Linked DNA regions of Sus scrofa. The protein of the gene in region 1 interacts with the protein of each later gene in a pairwise test. Links are inferred from orthologs where the notes say so. Each region holds a gene or a part of one and is shown on either strand. Other genes may lie near its edges.

The links. The genes of interacting proteins can lie anywhere in the genome.
Region 2: the proteins of HSF2 (region 1) and MTUS2 interact in binary tests that used the Homo sapiens proteins (3 or more experiments, as listed by UniProt). The two-hybrid records come from large-scale screens. The link is inferred for Sus scrofa from reciprocal best matches to the Homo sapiens genes HSF2 and MTUS2.
Region 3: the proteins of HSF2 (region 1) and WDR5 interact in binary tests that used the Homo sapiens proteins (3 or more experiments, as listed by UniProt). The two-hybrid records come from large-scale screens. The link is inferred for Sus scrofa from reciprocal best matches to the Homo sapiens genes HSF2 and WDR5.

Annotation. Positions count from the first base shown.
Region 1 is NC_010443.5:40,162,396-40,168,166, reverse strand, and holds part of HSF2 (heat shock factor protein 2), read left to right. Parts: coding exon 1-43; intron 44-198; coding exon 199-326; intron 327-1,445; coding exon 1,446-1,570; intron 1,571-3,942; coding exon 3,943-4,018; intron 4,019-5,771. UniProt on the Homo sapiens protein: DNA-binding protein that specifically binds heat shock promoter elements (HSE) and activates transcription. In higher eukaryotes, HSF is unable to bind to the HSE unless the cells are heat shocked.
Region 2 is NC_010453.5:6,194,787-6,200,557, forward strand, and holds part of MTUS2 (microtubule-associated tumor suppressor candidate 2), read left to right. Parts: intron 1-2,909; 5' UTR 2,910-3,152; coding exon 3,153-5,279; intron 5,280-5,771. UniProt on the Homo sapiens protein: Binds microtubules. Together with MAPRE1 may target the microtubule depolymerase KIF2C to the plus-end of microtubules. May regulate the dynamics of microtubules at their growing distal tip.
Region 3 is NC_010443.5:273,572,639-273,578,298, reverse strand, and holds the end of WDR5 (WD repeat-containing protein 5), read right to left. Parts: exon of another isoform or gene 4,743-5,660; coding exon 4,667-4,742; exon of another isoform or gene 3,996-4,666; coding exon 3,962-3,995; intron 3,793-3,961; coding exon 3,718-3,792; exon of another isoform or gene 3,325-3,717; coding exon 3,237-3,324; intron 2,133-3,236; coding exon 2,032-2,132; 3' UTR 1,744-2,031; downstream 1-1,743.

The DNA of each region.
Region 1 (5,771 bases):
AAGCACAATAATATGGCAAGCTTTGTGAGGCAGCTGAATATGTGTGAGTATGGACAGTGGTTTATTTGGACTATTGTCATCAGCTGCTGATAAAACCGTTTCCCCCACTGGGATGATAAAGGAAAATATATTCCATAGATACACCATTAATTTTTTACTTTTGTATATTTTAGCCACCTGAATTTTGATCTTTTTCAGATGGTTTTCGTAAAGTAGTACATATTGACTCTGGAATTGTGAAGCAGGAACGAGATGGTCCTGTTGAATTTCAGCATCCTTACTTCAAACAAGGCCAGGATGACTTGTTGGAGAACATTAAAAGGAAGGTGAGCTATTGTTTATATGCTTTAATTAGGGCATTACCATATAGTATGCTTGTCCAAGATTAATATTTCAGTTGTTGAAATTAAGAATATACTGAAATACACAGATACTTGTTGTTGGGATGTCTTAAACTAATAAAGCTTTAATTATTTCTGTTTCATTTTTCTCTGCACTCAACTACATGGAGGGCTCAGTCTTTAAACACTTTTAGATAGAAAGAAATGTTTACATTTTGACTTAGAATAAGGAGTCATCTAGATTGGGATGACTCATTCCGTCTAATTTAGCCTAAAAAATGTAAGCTCCTATGAGAAAGTCAGCCGCCTGGAGGGCCTTTTTCTGTAGTTCACTGCTCAATATCCAGTGCCTAAAAGAAATCCCTTATATGTAGTAGACAATTAACAATACATTTTTTTTTCCTTTTTGTCTTTTTGCCTTTTCTAGGGCTGCTCCCATGGCATATGGAGGTTCCCAAGCTAGGGATCTAATCAGAGCTGTAGCTGCCAGCCTACACCACAGCCACAGCAACATGGGATCCAGGCTGCGTCTGTGACCTGCACCAGAGCTCACAGCAATACCGGATCCTTAACCCACTGAGCAAGGCCAGGGATCGAACCCAAAATCTCAAGGTTCTTAGTCGGATTTGTTAACTACTGAGCCATGACAGGAACTCCTAATAATGCATTTTTTGAATGGATGATATGTTTTGCTGAAATAAGTATGTTGACTAAATCCACAGAAGGAAGGGGTAGGGATACAGGGTAGTGGACCATGAAAGAAAATGGCCTATTACCGCATAATTTTAATTAAATATGGAATGTGTTAATAAAAGGCTTGGGGAAATTAGAGGGAATTTTAGCAGAAAGAAATGACAAAAAAAAAAAAAAAAAAAAAAAAAAAAAAGATGTTCCAGCTCATGGAAACTTTCCCACATTAAAAATAAATAAACTGATTATGCCTTATCCTCTCTATGAGCTGTGAAGTCTGTACTTTTCCTGGGCTTTTGGAACTAGATCTCACTTCCTTGAATAGGCTATAAAAACGTCTTATAACAGGGAAGCCTTGAATTATAATGCTAGTATTTAGTATTTGTTTAATTTCCTAAATTTACTTTTTAAAAGGTTTCATCTTCAAAACCAGAAGAAAATAAAATTCGTCAGGAAGATTTAACAAAAATTATAAGTAGTGCTCAGAAGGTTCAAATAAAACAAGAAACTATTGAGTCCAGGCTTTCTGAATTGAAAAGGTAAAGTAGTATTTTCAAATATAATCCTGATATGAGGTTTGGTGTGTCTGTATGTGTGTTTGGATTGGAGGTTGATGCTTTAAGTACTTAGATTATGTTGTTGAGCCAAGATTAAAAGCCATTTTTCTTAAGTGTTGATTCCCTTTACTTTTTTATTTGTAGCTATATATAGACTTTACCGCAATAGTATATTTTTATGATTGTGATTAAAAAAAAGTATAAACCTGGACAGTCAAAACAATTTGCGCAAGTTTTACTGATGAAATAATAGATCACTAATTTGGTGTAGGAAATAGGATTCTGCTTTCATATGTTTACATATGAGGACACACAAGTCATAAAAAATACTGTATATATAACTCGTCCTTATAGCAGTGTAAGATATTTTCTGTGTGGCCTATCTTTTAAGACACAAAAATAGGGAAAAAAGGACACAAGAGACTTGCCCTACTTGATAGTTACATAGACTTGAGAAAATATTACTCAAACCTTTTATCTGCAGAAGATGCTTTATTTTGCTTCAGTACGTTTTTTGGCACCATTATCCTAATGCCACAGTAACAATTCATATATAGAGTAGATGTGTATTTTTATTCTTAGTAAGTAGCTAGAAATTTTCTTTTAGCGTAGTAGGTGCCAAGGTCTTGAGAGTAGTTCTTTTATGTATTGTCCCTTTCATGTCAAATATGGGGCATTAGTTTAGCTATTTTTTTTTTTTTTTTTTTTTTTTTTTGTCTTTTTGCCATTTCTTGGGCTGCTCCTGCGGCATATGGAGGTTCCCAGGCTAGGGGTCCAATCGGAGCTGTAGCCACCAGCCTATGCCAGAGCCACAGCAACGGGGGATCCGAGCCGTGTCTGCAACCTACACCACAGCTCACGGCAACGCCGGATCCTTTAACCCACTGAGCAAGGCCAGGGGTCGAACCCGCAACCTCATGGTTCCTAGTCGGATTCGTTAACCACTGCGCCACGACGGGAACTCCAGTTTAGCTATTCTTAAGTATTTTCATTAAGAGAATAACCTTGGGCTTTGATTCTCTTTTTGAATAAGCCTTAATTTTAAGCTTGCCCCTTTTGCATGTTTTATTTAAGCACTTGTATTGGTTTACTGTATGTATCTTGTGTTTTCTGAAGTGCCTTTTGACCCAATTCCTTGAATTTCAGGTTTAGCCCTTAAGGAATGGGATCCAAAATTCATTCTAAGTCTCAGTGGTAACCATTCTCTTACTTATCTGTAGTAGGCAGGTGACAGTATCTTTACATTTCTGAATCAGAAAAAAGTACAGTAGTTATTCAGTAAGTATTAAAGTCTTATTTTCTGTGCCCTCTATACCTAAATCCAGTCCCTTTTGTAATGGTCTGGACTGAGAAGGTTGGCTTTTGTGGAAATTAATAAAAGAACAAAAATAAAATCATTTAATAGATAAATTATCTTTCATGCCTTCTCAGCTTTATCATTGCTGACATTTAGTAACCGCAATTTCAATAAAAATGGTGAATGAAAGGAGAAAACTTACTACTAGGCACATAGTTTGTTATGTATTTGGATATGCTTAAAAAGCACGCTTTTAATATGCTTTAAAAAATTTATATGCTTATGTTTGAGACAGACAGTTTTAGAGTCTGATAGACTTTAGTTCAACATCAACACTTACCACATTGTGTGATCTTGGGTAAGTCTTTTCAGTTCCCTGAGTCTCAGTCTCCTCAGCTATAAAATAGTTATATAATTCCTTTCTGGACAGATTTAAGAAACATTTAAATGAGTAATATGCATAAAATGCTTATATAAATAGTGTCTGGCATGGCAAGTGTTGGTTAAATGTTACTTCCCTTTAAGAATTGTTTCCTAAGCACAAGTTCTGAATTCACATGATTGAAAGTTAGCTTATTTTTATATTTATTTTTTGCCTTTCTACAGCATATGGAGTTCCTGGTCCGAGCCACATTTGGGACCTCTGCCCCAGGTGTGGCAATGCTGGATCCTTTAGCCCACTGTACCAGGCCAGGGTTCAAACCTGCATCCTGGCCCGTCAGAGATGCCGCCAATTCCATTACGCTACAGCGGGATCTCCAAAAAGTTAGCTTGTTTCTTAAACAAGAAGTGATTAACCACATTGTCAGAGGAGTATATGGCCTATTAAGTGTTTGTATATATACTGCCATGAGTAGAAGATACTATAGTTATAAAGGAAAGATTCTGGAGTTGTGTCAAAATAGGTGTCATTCTGTGTAATTGAACCACAGTTTTCCTAGTCTCATGAAGATAGGTAGTAAAAACTAGTTCTGTTTTATGGTATTCTTAAAAATGTTGAGGCCTGGTTTTTCTGACTAAATTTATTAATTTTTATTTTTAATAAATGATAACATAGTGAGAATGAGTCCCTTTGGAAGGAGGTGTCAGAATTAAGAGCAAAACATGCACAACAACAGCAAGTTATTCGAAAGGTAAGCTTTTTTTTCCTGTGACCATAATCTGCGTTTATTTGAGTACTATTTGTGACCTTCGAGAAACCTCTATTAAATAGTGATTGATCTTAGTTTTTTTAATATATTGGGTACACAGAAGTAAACCTATGAAATCAAACAAGCCAATGTTATATATTTTTTAATTAAAAAATTTCTCATTAGCTAAATACAGTCATTGCATACTTGCAACTAATGTTTCATTAGCTTTTAGTAAAATCTTTTTCCTGATATAACAACTTTAGTATACTTCATTCTTAGGAGCATAATTAATATACTACCAATTTCTTAACACATTTTATATAAAAGACATAGCCTTACTATGTAGGATGTTTTTGTTTTTTGTTTTACTTTAAAAGGTATAGATTCAGTCTCAGATAAATGACTAATATTTTCAAGTTAACTGATCAAATTATATGCTCAGAAGAGTTACTAGTGTGTGCTGTCATTAGTCTGTGCAGAAAAGCAGTGAATGCAGTGTTATAAAATGTATCTGAGCTGAAAATTACTAGGGGAACCAAAAAAAACTCTCGGCCACATAGTGTCCTTGTACTTTAATCTTCTCATATCAGCTTTCATATGTTAATAAGAGGTGAAACATAAAAGTAATTAAGGCAGCTATTTTTTGCTCATGAGTAAACTGGACTCTTAAGTTTAAGCAACAGGTTTTTTTTGGGGGAGGGAGGGTGGGCGAGCTTCAGTTTGTTCCTAACCCAGAGGCCTTTAGCTAAAAATAGGGTTATGACTGAAAAGATGTGGGTCTGATGGAGCAGGCTTAGAATACAGAGATGAATGGTAGTTGCAGCCTTTCCCCTATAATTAATATAGGTATACTGATTTTTAAAAATCACTATGAAAATGGAGGTTGAATGTAGGTAGCATTCAGTTCTAGGTGTTTAGTCCAAGTTTTATGTATTTTCAGAACTTCCATAGTTGATTCCAACTTGAAGCTATGTTTAAGAATACCCGACTTAGGAGTTCCCATGTGACTCAGTGGGTTAATCATCTGGCATTATCACTGCAGTGGCTCAGATTGCTGCTTTGGTGCGGGTTCAATCCCTGGCTGCCATGAGCACAGCCCCCCCAAAAAAGTATACCTGATTTAAAATGATAAGTGTACCTTAACCTGTATTTTATTTTAAAAATTTGCTTCCCCCTGCCCTGGAAAACAGTGTTCGGGTTAAATATTAACTCACAGTACTCCATAATTTGAAGTGGTTTTTTTTTTTTTTTTTTTCCTGAAAGCAGTAGTAGTTAGTAAAATATTTATTTAACATTTCAGTTTTACATGAAAGCTAACATTCTTTCTGCTCAAATTTGAGTTTGCATCTATATTTTAGTGAGGTTAGGGTGTTTACATAATGCATGATGACAGCTGATAAATTTTTTCTCTATTCCTGGAATTTGTTTCTAACTCTTCCACTTTTTGGCCTTGGAATAATAATATATGGGAGGTATCTTTATAGGATTTGTTAGGTACAGAGCTGATAAGATAGATAGATATATGGGTAGATGGATGTCCTAGGCTTCTCTATATTTTAGGCAGCAGCTTTATCACAGATTTTTCTTCTGCCTGGAAGCTGGTATGTTTCTTTAGATACTGTAAGATGCACCCACATTTATAATATGTTAATTTTCAAGAAAGTATGTGACTTAGAGGACATATACTATGTGAGTTAATTTTATAAGACTTGTAATATGGACTAAAGAATTAGGAATCGGTAATGGAACATCT
Region 2 (5,771 bases), on another chromosome or scaffold:
AGGAAAAGAAAGCTCCGTTAATTGAGTTCTTAGGGACGCCCGCGGGAGGTGGTCCAGTGAAAAATGAAGTTGGGCGGTTGGGATGGAGATGGACGGGAGCATGGAGGGAGCTGCAAGGTATTGGCGATTTTTCCAGCACTTTGTTTTTCTCGTGCCTTGTGTTCTTTTGTTTTATAACATGTTATAAAACAAATGTACACGGATGTGGAGCATGCATACACCTGCGCAGGTGTAGTCTGTGTACCGATGTACCCAGAACATGAGGATACACACATGTTCCTTTGAATGTGTGAAAGAGCATGTGAAGCAGTGACGAGGGGAAGAGGAGTGGCTTCCCTGTAACCTATTTTAGTAGAAACCTCACAGCAGCCTCCCATGTGATGTGTGCGCACGTGCGTATGCTCATGAGAAGCAGAGGGAGCTGCAGACGGCAGCTGCTCACTTTGAATCCCCTTTGGGGGACCTGGGGACGAGGCAGAAGCTTATTACTCTTAAATTCTCCCGTCCCCAGGGCCTAATAAATGCATTCACAGTAGTGGCTAAAACATTGTTAGCCTTGAGTGGTTTACTGATGATCTGTGAGTCTCCTTTGGTAGAAATTTAATTACTCTATGAGAATTTAAGCTCGATGAAGGCAGAAATAATATTGATCTTCATCATTTGGTTAATCATGTATTCATTCATTCATGCTATGAATATATGTCAAGTGCCATGTGTATGATATGATACATATTATGTAACATATATGATATAATGTGATACATGATATATAATATATAATATATCATGTATGATACATGGTATGATATAACATTATATGATTGTATATAATATATATTAATGTATATTAATTCTCAATATTAACAATATTTTCTTCAGTGCCTAGCATATTTCAAGGATTTTTTTAAAGTTAAAATGGAGGGTGTTATGGAAGTTCACATAGAAAGACCTAATCTAGTGGATCAGGCAGGCTTCCTGGAGGAAGTGGCATTTATGCTGCAAACTGCAAATGACAGGGAGCTCTATGGACAAGGTTGGGGGAAGATTCCACATTTCACGCGGGTGGGAGAGTGTGTGCAAAGGCCCTGAAGCAGGGGGAAGGAACACGAGGGATGAGGACAGTGCGGCTGCAGCCGAGGGCGGAAGAGGACCAGAGGGGATGAAGCCAGAAAGGCCTGTACGGGACGGATCCTGCAGGCCCCACAGGCAGGACCAGAATGTTCTCCACCTTCTTATTTTGAAGGAAGTGGCAGGTGTATTTGAAAGGACTGCCTAGGTTTTCAAATGGCAAACGTTTTCCCAAGGTTGTGTGCACTGTCTCTTTCACGCACACGTTTTTCTCTTTGCCCAACCATTTGAGAGTAAGTGACAGACAACCTGTCCTGCAAAAAGCATGTCATGTTTCATGTCAGGTGCCTTCTGGGAACACAGACTTAGCTGCGGTGGCATCACGATGCTGCTGCTGCACACCCAGCAAAGTGAACACTGATCAATACCTTTACTCTGTACGTAGTCTCCACTGAGATCTCAAATCGGCCCCGTGACCTTTGCTAACGTTTTAAAAAGCCAGGATCCAGTCAAGGATCGTGCGTTGCGTCTAGATGTCCCCTGGCCTTTTGGGGGAGGCAACTTTAGCCCAGCTGTTTTGTAGACTGCCCATCGATTTAAATGTGCCTGGAGGAGTTCCCGTTGTGCCTCAGCAGAAACGAATCTCATTGGCGTCCGTGAATCTGACTGGCATCCACGAGGACGCAGCTTCCATCCCTGGCCTCACTCAGTGGGTTGAGGATCGGTGTTGCCATGAGCTGTGACGTAGGTCACAGACCTGGCTTGGATCTGGTGTAGCTGTGGCTCTGGTGTAGTAGCTATGGCTCCGATTCAGCCCCTAGCCTGGGAAATTCCATATGCCTTGGGTGCAGCCCTAAAAAAAAATAAAAAATAAAAAGGCACCCCCCCACACACATGTGCCTGATTATTTCCTCATGGTTAACAGGTTGCATGTTTATAGCGAGGCTACTCCCCCAGGGGATGGAGCACTGAGAGCCACCTGGCCTCTGGAGCACGTGGTACCCGTTTCCGTATTGATGTCGGATTTGATCACGAGGTACGGTGCTGTCCACGGGCTTTCTCCACTGTACGGCTGAAACGCTCCTTTGTAAGAAATTCAGTAATCTGGAGGGTGGTGCCTTAGGCTTCTGTAAATATCCTGTTCCCCTGCAATTCTGCACTCAGTGATTTTAGCCACCATCGGCCCCTCCCCCACAATAGTTATTACTCCGGGGATGTTTCTAAGCACCTAATTTTTCGCATGTCAGTTTGTACTCTTCCGTGAAGAAGAGCCTTCCTGTCTCCTCTCCTCTTTTTAATCAGTATCATGGTGAGCTTGTGGGTGTTTAAAATTTGAACTTAATTCATATGTATTTATCATCCATTTCTAAGATTAATCTTTTTTTTTTTTTTTTTTTTTTTTTTTTTTAAGAGCCATACCCGCGGCTTATGGAAGTTCCCAGGCTAGGGGTTCTCATCAGAGCTACTGCTGCCAGCCTGCACCACAGCCACAGCAATGCAGGATTCGAGCCGCATCTGTGACCTACACCACAGCTCACAGCAACACCAGATCTTTAACCCGCGGAGTGAGGCTAGGGATCGAACTCGCATCCTCACGGATGTTAGGCAGGTTTGTTTCTGCTGCGCCACAGTGGGAACTCCTAACATCGATCCTTTTGACGTTACAGTTTCCCATATTTGGCCAGCAGGAGCCCCTGTGGGGAAGGTTTTTGAGAAATCTGATCTGGCTCCAGTGGCTTAAGTAATAGTAGGAAAGTGGTGACTCGGTCTGTGCTTCCCAGGCCTTTTTCTCCCGAGAGTCTCTGTGGATCGAATGTGCTTTTCTTTTTCTTTCTCTCTAGGTCTCATGGGCTAATTGGCTCTCATTGAGCTGGAACCCAACAGAGACATCACCTTGCTGTGGGTCAAGACAATGCTGGATTTTAAAACCGCTCTGAAAATGATCAAGGCGGGATCGCCCAGTGACCTTCTCAGGGGGCAGCCAGCAGCTTGAGAATTTCCCGTTCACCGGGGAGCAGCTGGAAGGAAGCCCCTCTCCGCGAAGGGCGCCTGCATGGCAGGCGGCCCCCACCCAAGGATTCACAATGAGCGTCCCAGCGCCTCCTAAGAAGTCGTGTTATACCGAGTTGCGGGACAGCAGCAATGGGGTGAAAAACAATAACGAGAGCGTCCTAAGCCTGGGCGATACCAACGCCAACCCCATCATGTTGGAGGTCGGCTCCTCTCCTGCTGACGGCGAGATTGGAAATGCAAACTCGAGGGGGCCAGAAAACAGCAGCCGCGTCCACAAGGACTTCCACCCACTTCCGGCCTTTGGGAAGGCCCCCCAGGGCGGCCCCGCCAGCCTGAAGGATTTTAAATTTTCTCTGACAGTTCCAAGAGCACTGAGTGAAGAGCCCGTGCTGGAGAGGGGCGCAGAGCCCCCGCAGGGCCCTCGGGGCCTGCAGGGACCAGGTCTGCTGAGCTGGAGGACCGCTGCGGGCGAGGCCGGGCCAGAGGCTTTGGCTAAAAGGGAGGTGGAGACTCCCCGGCCTGTTCCCAAGGATAAGCTGGCCAAGACCCTGGACAACGAGGAGTTGAGGAGGCATTCTTTGGAGAGAGCCGGCAGCGCCTCTGTGGCCCTGGACGTGCTCACAAAGGAGCGGGCTGGGGGCCTGGCCTGGCCTCTTCCGCAGCCTGCGGTGCCCGGAGATGGAGAGGGGCCGCAGAAGACGGGGATGGCCCCTCCTGCAAGGCCGGCATGTCCCCCAGCCGACAGCACCTCAGAGGGAGAGAGCGTGTGTCATCCTAAACCATCTACCTCAGAAGCCAAGGAGATGCCGCCCGCCCTGGGATGGGTCCCCCAAGTAAGCGCCCAGGGCACGGTGCCTTCTGCCCACCCAGAGGGCACTCCCGATTCCACTCCAGCATCCAGGGGTGTCTTGAGGCAGCCAGAAGCACAACCAGGTCAGGGCAAGGCAGAGCCTACAACGGAGCCGAAGCTCGTCCAGCCCAGGCCCGGGCAGGAGCTCAGGTACGCCCAGGTGGACGGCCCGGAATGTGCTAAGGAGGATGTGGTGTCACCTCTCGGGAGAAGGGAGCCGGCTGGGGAAGCACAGCAAGAAGCCTCCGGCGCTGCGTTCAGCGGCCTGGCCCACAGCGGTCCCCACCCACTGGGCGTGGGAAGAGGCAGGAGGGAGCAGGAAAAGAGAAACGAGGAGGGGTCTCTTCAGGGCACCCCCACACAGAGCCCTGCTTCCTTGGGGGCTGCTGATCATCAGCCCATAGGTCGAATTTCCCCAAGCGCAGCCAGCAGACTGGGTGACACTGTGGCATCCAGCCGCGTTTCAGCAGGTGATGGTCACGTGGCTTTGACTCCTGATGATTCGAGGGACAGCAGGCCCTTGGATCCCAGGGCGGAGAATGGGGTCCTGGGCCCTGGGAACGAGAACAGCCCTGGAGTTTTTAATTCAGACCCTTCCACTGGAGGGAGCAAAGTTGGGGTCCCTGAGCCCCTTCCCGGCAGCACCTCAGAAGCCAGCGAAGGCACAGAGATCCCTGCGTGCCCTGTCGAGACTAGGGACCGTCTAGAAAATGCTAAGACTGAAAGCACCCCAGCGAGAACAGAACCCCTTCTCAGGGTCCCAGTGCCCCTCCACCCAGAGACAACTGTGACTGTGTCCCGCCAGCCTCCACCCCCCAGCAGCCGCGCTCAGGACCCGGGCGCCTGGAGTGTGGACGCGGGGTCCTCCCCGGCTGCCCCGCCCCCCGCCGACAGCGCGAGGTTGTCACTCGCTGCCCCGAAAGTGCCTGACAAGGGCGCCTGCCCCACCGGGATCCCCAAGCCTGTGGCCGCCTCGCAGGAGGGGCTGGAGGGCCCCCAGCCGGAGAAGCCGGAGGAGAGGGCGGACCCCAAGGCCGTGATCGTGCCCAAGCCCAAGCCCGTGAGGCCCAAGATCATCACGTACATCAGGAGGGGCCCCCAGGCCCTGGGCCAGGTGGACGCGTCGCTGGTCCCCGTGGGCCTTCCTTACGCTCCGCCCGCGTGTGCCGTGCCGCTCCCCAAAGAGGAGAAGGGGGCGGGCGGGGACCTGAAGCCGGCGGCCGGCCTCTACGAGAAGTTCAAGCCGGACTTGCAGAGGCCCCGGGTGTTCAGCTCCGGGCTGGTGGTGTCTGGGATCAAGCCCCCGGGACACCCCTTCGGTCAAATGAGTGAAAAGTTTCTGCAGGAGGTAAGAGAAGGTCGCTGTGGCCCGGTCTGTGAGTCGCACGTCCTGGCGTTCGTTATGTGTGTTCAGTGAAGGGTCAGAACAGAGTGTCCTCTTAGCAAAGTGCAGGTTGTGGCGGATGGGCGTGTGTAGAAATGGACATCTGTAACTAGAGGAGGCGGGAGGCAAATGGCCAGTTCCCATGAGAAGAGTTTGATGATCAGAAGGAGAGGAAGCTGATGGATCCGAAGAGACCCATTTAAATTCTACCCGACAGAATAAATGCAGGAGCGTTAGAGGAGCATGCATGTAAGTGGGCTTCCTCGTTTAACCATGTGAGCGTAATTCGCCCGTAAACCAGGTCAATGGAAAAAAATCCAAGATAAACATATTGTTCAGATTGGTCAGCTTTGTCCTTTAAGGATGGCAGAGACTGGAGGAAGGCTGTCCTTCTCCCAGCTGATCGGAACAGCTCTGCCCTTCACTTTCTCTAGGTCCCTTTAAGGGGGACCATGT
Region 3 (5,660 bases), about 230 Mb from region 1:
TTTGAAGAATTGTCCCTTAGAGAAGCTGCTTAAATGACAGAACACCTGGCGTTTATCGTAAAATGACCACGGAAGGCCGCCTAAAACAAGAGATGCCCTAAGATCGTGAAGCTGAGGGTGAGGACACGGGGATTTTCTCCACTTCTATGAGGTTTCAAGTGTCCCATCATAAAATCTTTTTTTACTATCCTAGAAGACGTACACCAAAACATTAGTGGTGAGCAGAAGCTGGGTGACTTCTTACCTTTGCCTTTATTATACTGTTAGTAATGAGCACAAATACGTAATTTTCTTAAGAAAGGGGTATTTTAAAAACACCAAGAACTTCCCGCCAGAGCACGCTAGCCTCCAGGGCACTGCAAAGCCCGAGCAGAGAGCAGGGCCGCCTCAGGCCGCCTCCCACTCTGGTGACAGCCAGAGGTTAAGAAAGGCAAACAGTTCTCGCGGACAGAATTACAAGACAGGAAGCTCTTTATTTTCAAAAAGAGAATGTATTTTTACATAAATCTACAACAGAGAATTCAAATGTAGAAAAAATAAACTATATTCCAGGACACAGGGCCCTGCACATACGCCCTCCTCCCGGGCTGCGCCCAACGCCAGAACCAACAGAACCAAAGGAAATCTGAGGCCACACCACGGCCGCGGGAGCTCAGCGCCTCCCAGGCTGTCGCCCGGGGAATGCAGTGTCCTTTCACCCGAGCTATTCGTCCCTAGAGCCAGCCCGCTGTCCGCCTACTTCTGAAGGGCAGGGCGGGAAGTGGCTTGTTTCCCCATGTTCTGTGTGACAGCAGCCCTCACGCCCCCACCTGCACACTGTCACTCAGCGCGATGGAGCCAGGACCCAGGCACTCGGGCCCCAGGAGTGGCCCCAGGGGAGATGAGCCCCGAGCCTGAGCACGGGCCAGACTCCCGGCCACAGGCAGGGGATGCTCCTTACGAAGCAGCCTCCACCGCTACGGTCTTGGAGCCGCAGGTGGGCCTGGGACTACGGGGTGGCCTCACTGCAGAGAGGGGTCCCCCACGGCCCTGCTCTGCCGTCCGTCCAGAAGCCTCCAGCGCCCTCGCTCCCTCTGCTAGGGGCAGCGCCCACTGTGTGGGTGGCTGACGCCAGGCCCCCGCGGGGAGCCCGTCCTGGCGTGGGCGGCAGGCGTGGACACCACTGCGCCCTCAGGTCACAGCCTCCTCCACCCTCACCCGCACCCACAGCGGCCACGGGGCCCCCTCCGTCCTGCGCCCCCACATCCACAGGCCACCAGCCTGCAGGGGCCCTCGAGCCCGCGTGGACAAGGAGTGGCGCATCCCTCGGACCTGTCTTTTGAGAGGCGTCCTCTCAACCTCCTGCCGACCGCGAGGCTTTCCACAAAAGAGCGAGCAAAGCTCTGTGTGAGAACCCGGCGGCCACTCGCCCAGGCTGCCACCTTTATCACCGCTGGGGCGCTGCCTGCGTGTGACCACCAGAGGGACAAACAGAAGCGCCCAGGGTGACCCCCACGCTGGCAGCACGGGGACAACGGCCCCGATGCCAAAGGCACGTGGGCAGACACGCTGCAGACACGCTGCTTTCGAGCGCGGGCAGGACCAACACCGGGTGGGGGTCCCCAGAGAGGTCACTGGACCCACGAGGGGGCCCCTCTGAGGCCGGGTGGGCGAGGCTGGCGCCCACACACCGTGGTGGCGACTGGTCCAGCACTTGCACTGGGTGATAAAATGCACAGAACAGTTACTGGAAAAAAACACAACTCGTGATAAATTGAACTTCACCTTTTGTAATAAAAAATTAGAAATTTCTGTGGCCTCCGAACACAATACAGACTCTAACTCTTCCCCAGCCAACAAGACAGGCATTGGCAAGAATCGCCACCGGCAGCTCCGAGAACCTCTGCGGAGGACACGGCCCTCGGCCAAGCCGTCCTCGGAGGCGGCGCAGGCCCAGGCGCCTCCAGTCCCCAGGCCTGGACCAGGGAGCCCCTCGAGCACCGAGCTCTCGCCAGCCCGGCTGGGCGTCCCGACAGCCCCGCGCCCGCGGGCCTAGCAGTCGCTCTTCCAGAGCTTGATGGTCTTGTCGTTCTCCAGCGCGGCCGAGGCGATGATGTTCTCTGTGGGGTGGCAGGCCGTCGAGATGACCACGTCTGAAAGCAGAGGCACCACGGTCCCTCCGCGGCCCCGCCCCGTGGCCCCGCCCCGCAGCCCTGCCCCGCCCCAGGGCGTCCGAGCCCAGAGCTCAGGTCACCAGGCCTGGACAGTGGGCCGCGAGGTGCTCAGCACCGGCCTGGGCCCGGAGGCTGCCCAGCGCCGAGCCCAGAGACTGGGGCCCCTCACAAGCCAGAGGCACAGCCGGGGTCCGTCTCACGGCATCGACATCGCGCCCTCTGCACCGGGACCCAAACCGGCGCACCCACGCGCTCCCCGCCGCGGAGCAGAGGACGCCCGCAGGGCTGCGCTGCAAGTTCACCCCCGGGGCTGGCGCCTGGGGTCCGTCAGGTTAACACTTTGCAGCTCTGAAATTAACTCAGCCCCTTGGGAGCTCCCATCATGGCTCAGCGGAAAGAAATTTGACTGGTATCCATGAGGGCGCAGGTTTGATCCCTGGCATTGCTGTGGCTGTGGAGGAGGCCAGCAGCTGCAGCTCTGATTCAGCCCCTACCCTGGGAACGCCATATGCCGCAGGTGCGGCCCTAAAAAGACAACTGAACCCCAGAATCTTCCCTCTTGCCTGAGTGGTTTCAAATAAGCCTGAGCATCCTGCCCACAGCAGGGCAGAAGCAACAGGCCAGGTGCGGAAGCTGAAGGCCAGCACGGACCTCCAAGCTCAGGCCAGGACCTCAGGCAGTGGCGTGGCTTCCTTAGGCAGAGTCGCACACTCTCATCAGACTCTCCACGGCTGGACACCACTCTGCACTGAGCAGGAGTGGGGAGGGCGGGGGGGGGGGCTTAGGGGCTGCCCAGGTACTCCACACAGGGGACAGGAGCGGGCAGGAGGTCAGAGCCTGGAAAGGAGCCAGCCGGCAGAGCAGACGGCAGGCAGCCCGGGTCCCTGTACCATCTCCACGGGGACAGACCACAGGGCCCACAAGGACGTCAAGGGCCGGAGGAGAGGTTAAAGCCACACTCGGGCTCGGCCTGCGGGCGCTCAGACCCACAGCTCCAAACAGAGCCCCCGGCTCCCAGGGGGCCGAGGAGCAGAGGCAGGAGGATGCTCACAGGACCTGGTCCCTCCGTGGGGGAGAGCTCACCCGTGTGGCCCTGCAGCTTCTGCACAATCTCTTTCGTCTGCAGGTTCCAGATGTAAACCAAGTTGTCCTCCGAGCCCGACACGATCCACTGTCACGGGGCGGGAGGGTGTCAGGCGCGTGCCTGGGGACCAGCAGTACCAGCACCCCTCCCCGTGTGGGTCTCCGCCCATCTCCTGTCCCGATGCCGCACCAGCACCCGCCACTTCTAGGACATAAACTGTTTGCTCCAATCAGGGCTGCCGTCACCATCTCCCCCGCAGCCTGAGCCTGAGAGGCGGGGAGCCCCGGGGACCAGACGCCAGAGCCTGCCAGGGTCCCTGACTCCCAGAAGGTGCTGACACCCTCGGCATCGCAAAGGAGCCTGTGGCCCTGAAGAGGACGCAATGGGAAGGCCCGCTGAGGATGCCACCAGCGGGGCTGCACTGGGTTAAAAAGCGCCCCAGAGGGGCCGGGGAGAACCCCCAGCAGGGACATGACTCACCTTCCCGCCAGTGACAGAGAAATTCGCGAATATGCAGTACTTCTCATTCTTGTGGCCGGTGTACGTCTTCAGACACTGAAACAGCAGGGCCCGTCCGCTCAGTGGCGCCCCCCTGCACCCCGGGGTAACCCATCCAGGTACCTTTCAGCCAACGGAGCCGCTCTGAGCACAACCCACCCCGGCCCAGCCGTGGCCCCGGCCCCAGCCCCAGCACGACCCTCCGCCAGCCCGTCCCGGCGCTCACCTTCCCTTTGCTGTAGTCCCAGAGCTTCAGCGTGCTGCGGGGAGAGGGCGTGTCAGCCGAGCCCCCGAGGACCCACCCTCTCCGGTGCCCGCGCCCAGCCCAGGGTCCACAGAGCAAGGACACCTGGGAGCAGAGCGCGGGAACCCCAAGACACTGTTTTTCACTTGGCCTCGGCCGAGGCGTGTGCAAATTCCTGGGCCAGGGATCGAACCTGAGCTACTGCAGTGCCAAGTCCTTAACCTGTCGAGCCACACGTTAACTCCCCAAGAGGCTTGGTTAAAGGAAGCTACTAAGCGTTCCCCGAGCCGGGAAGGGGTCCACGTCCCTGCGAGAAAAGGGCTCAGGAAGCCCCATTGCGGACACGTCCAGAACAGACCTCGGCGGACAGTCCTTCCTCCTCCTGTGGGGGCCGACCCTGTGAGCCCACCCGAGGGCTCCCACAGTGCCCGGGGAGGCCGAGCGCCAGCCGCCTCCAGGAGGGCAGTGGACGGCCGGGACACCCACCCGAAGCGTGTTAGGAGCAGGGCGCCCGGGCAGAGCGGGCAGCACCGGGAGGCCGCCATGCCCACCATCCCAGCAGGGTGCCTACATCAGCAGCCTGCACCCAGCAGGCTCCGTGCGGGCACTGGAGCGGGTGTCTTTCTGGGATCCTGGCCCTGGGGCGATGGCCCTGGTAACCCGCCCGCACGGGGACAGAGGGCTTACTTGTCCAAGGTCGCGGCCAGGATGTACTTGCCGTTCGGAGAGAACTTCACGAAGGACACGGGCGGGTTGTCGTCATCTGCATGGAGCACAGAGACAGCTGCCACGCCGGGCACTGGCTCTCGGGTGGGGTGGCGCTCCCCTACCACGTGTCGCCCAGTGCAGCCACTGCCACCTGTGCCAACAGGGGGATCCCCGAGAGCCGGCCACCCTCCCTCACCCACTGTTCGTGCCAGCGTGAGCCAGGCTCCCAGTGACCCCATGACACAGGGCTTCGGGTGCAAAGGCCTGGTGGCCAGGGGCTCTCGGGTAGCCAGGCCTCTTCCACAGGGTACAGGAGAGGCCCCGGGATCAACCCCCAGGAGGGAGCTTGCAAATCGCAGCCCACTGGGAAGGCGGCAGCCCGGGTGAACCCTCTCAGGCACCTGCCAGCTCCGTGGTCAGAGTAGAAGAGGCATGAAGTCGCCCTAGAAGTCACCCTTTGCTGTTACACCCACACCCTGGTTCTGACCCTTGGGGTCCAGGGTGCACCCCGGGCCCTGAGGATGCAGCTGGAAAAGAGGCGGCACATTCAGAAAGTGCTCTGGCTGCAGGACGCCCCCGCCCCCCATCTGCCTGAATAGGAGGGCAGCCGGGGTGGCACCGGGCAGCGGGAGCCGGCGGGGCTGTGTCCCCAGCACCGGGGCACTGGGCAGGCACCGCATTACCACCTCGGGGCACCAGGAGCACCTGACGGGTCCCAGACACCGCAAAGGCACATGAGAAGACACATGAGGGCCACCCCTGGGCCACAGGGGCCACTCAGGATGGATGAGGGAGGCGGTGCCCAGAGGTCAGGGTGAGCACTGCCAGCAAGGCAACACAGGGCTGTCCTGCCAAGCCCCAGGCGCCCAATTCCCTGGACCTGAGGTTAGAAGTGGGGCCAGGAACCACTCCCTGCCGTCCCCACCTCCCAGCCAGGACTCCACATCTCCAGGCCTCAGCATCCTGCCTGGCT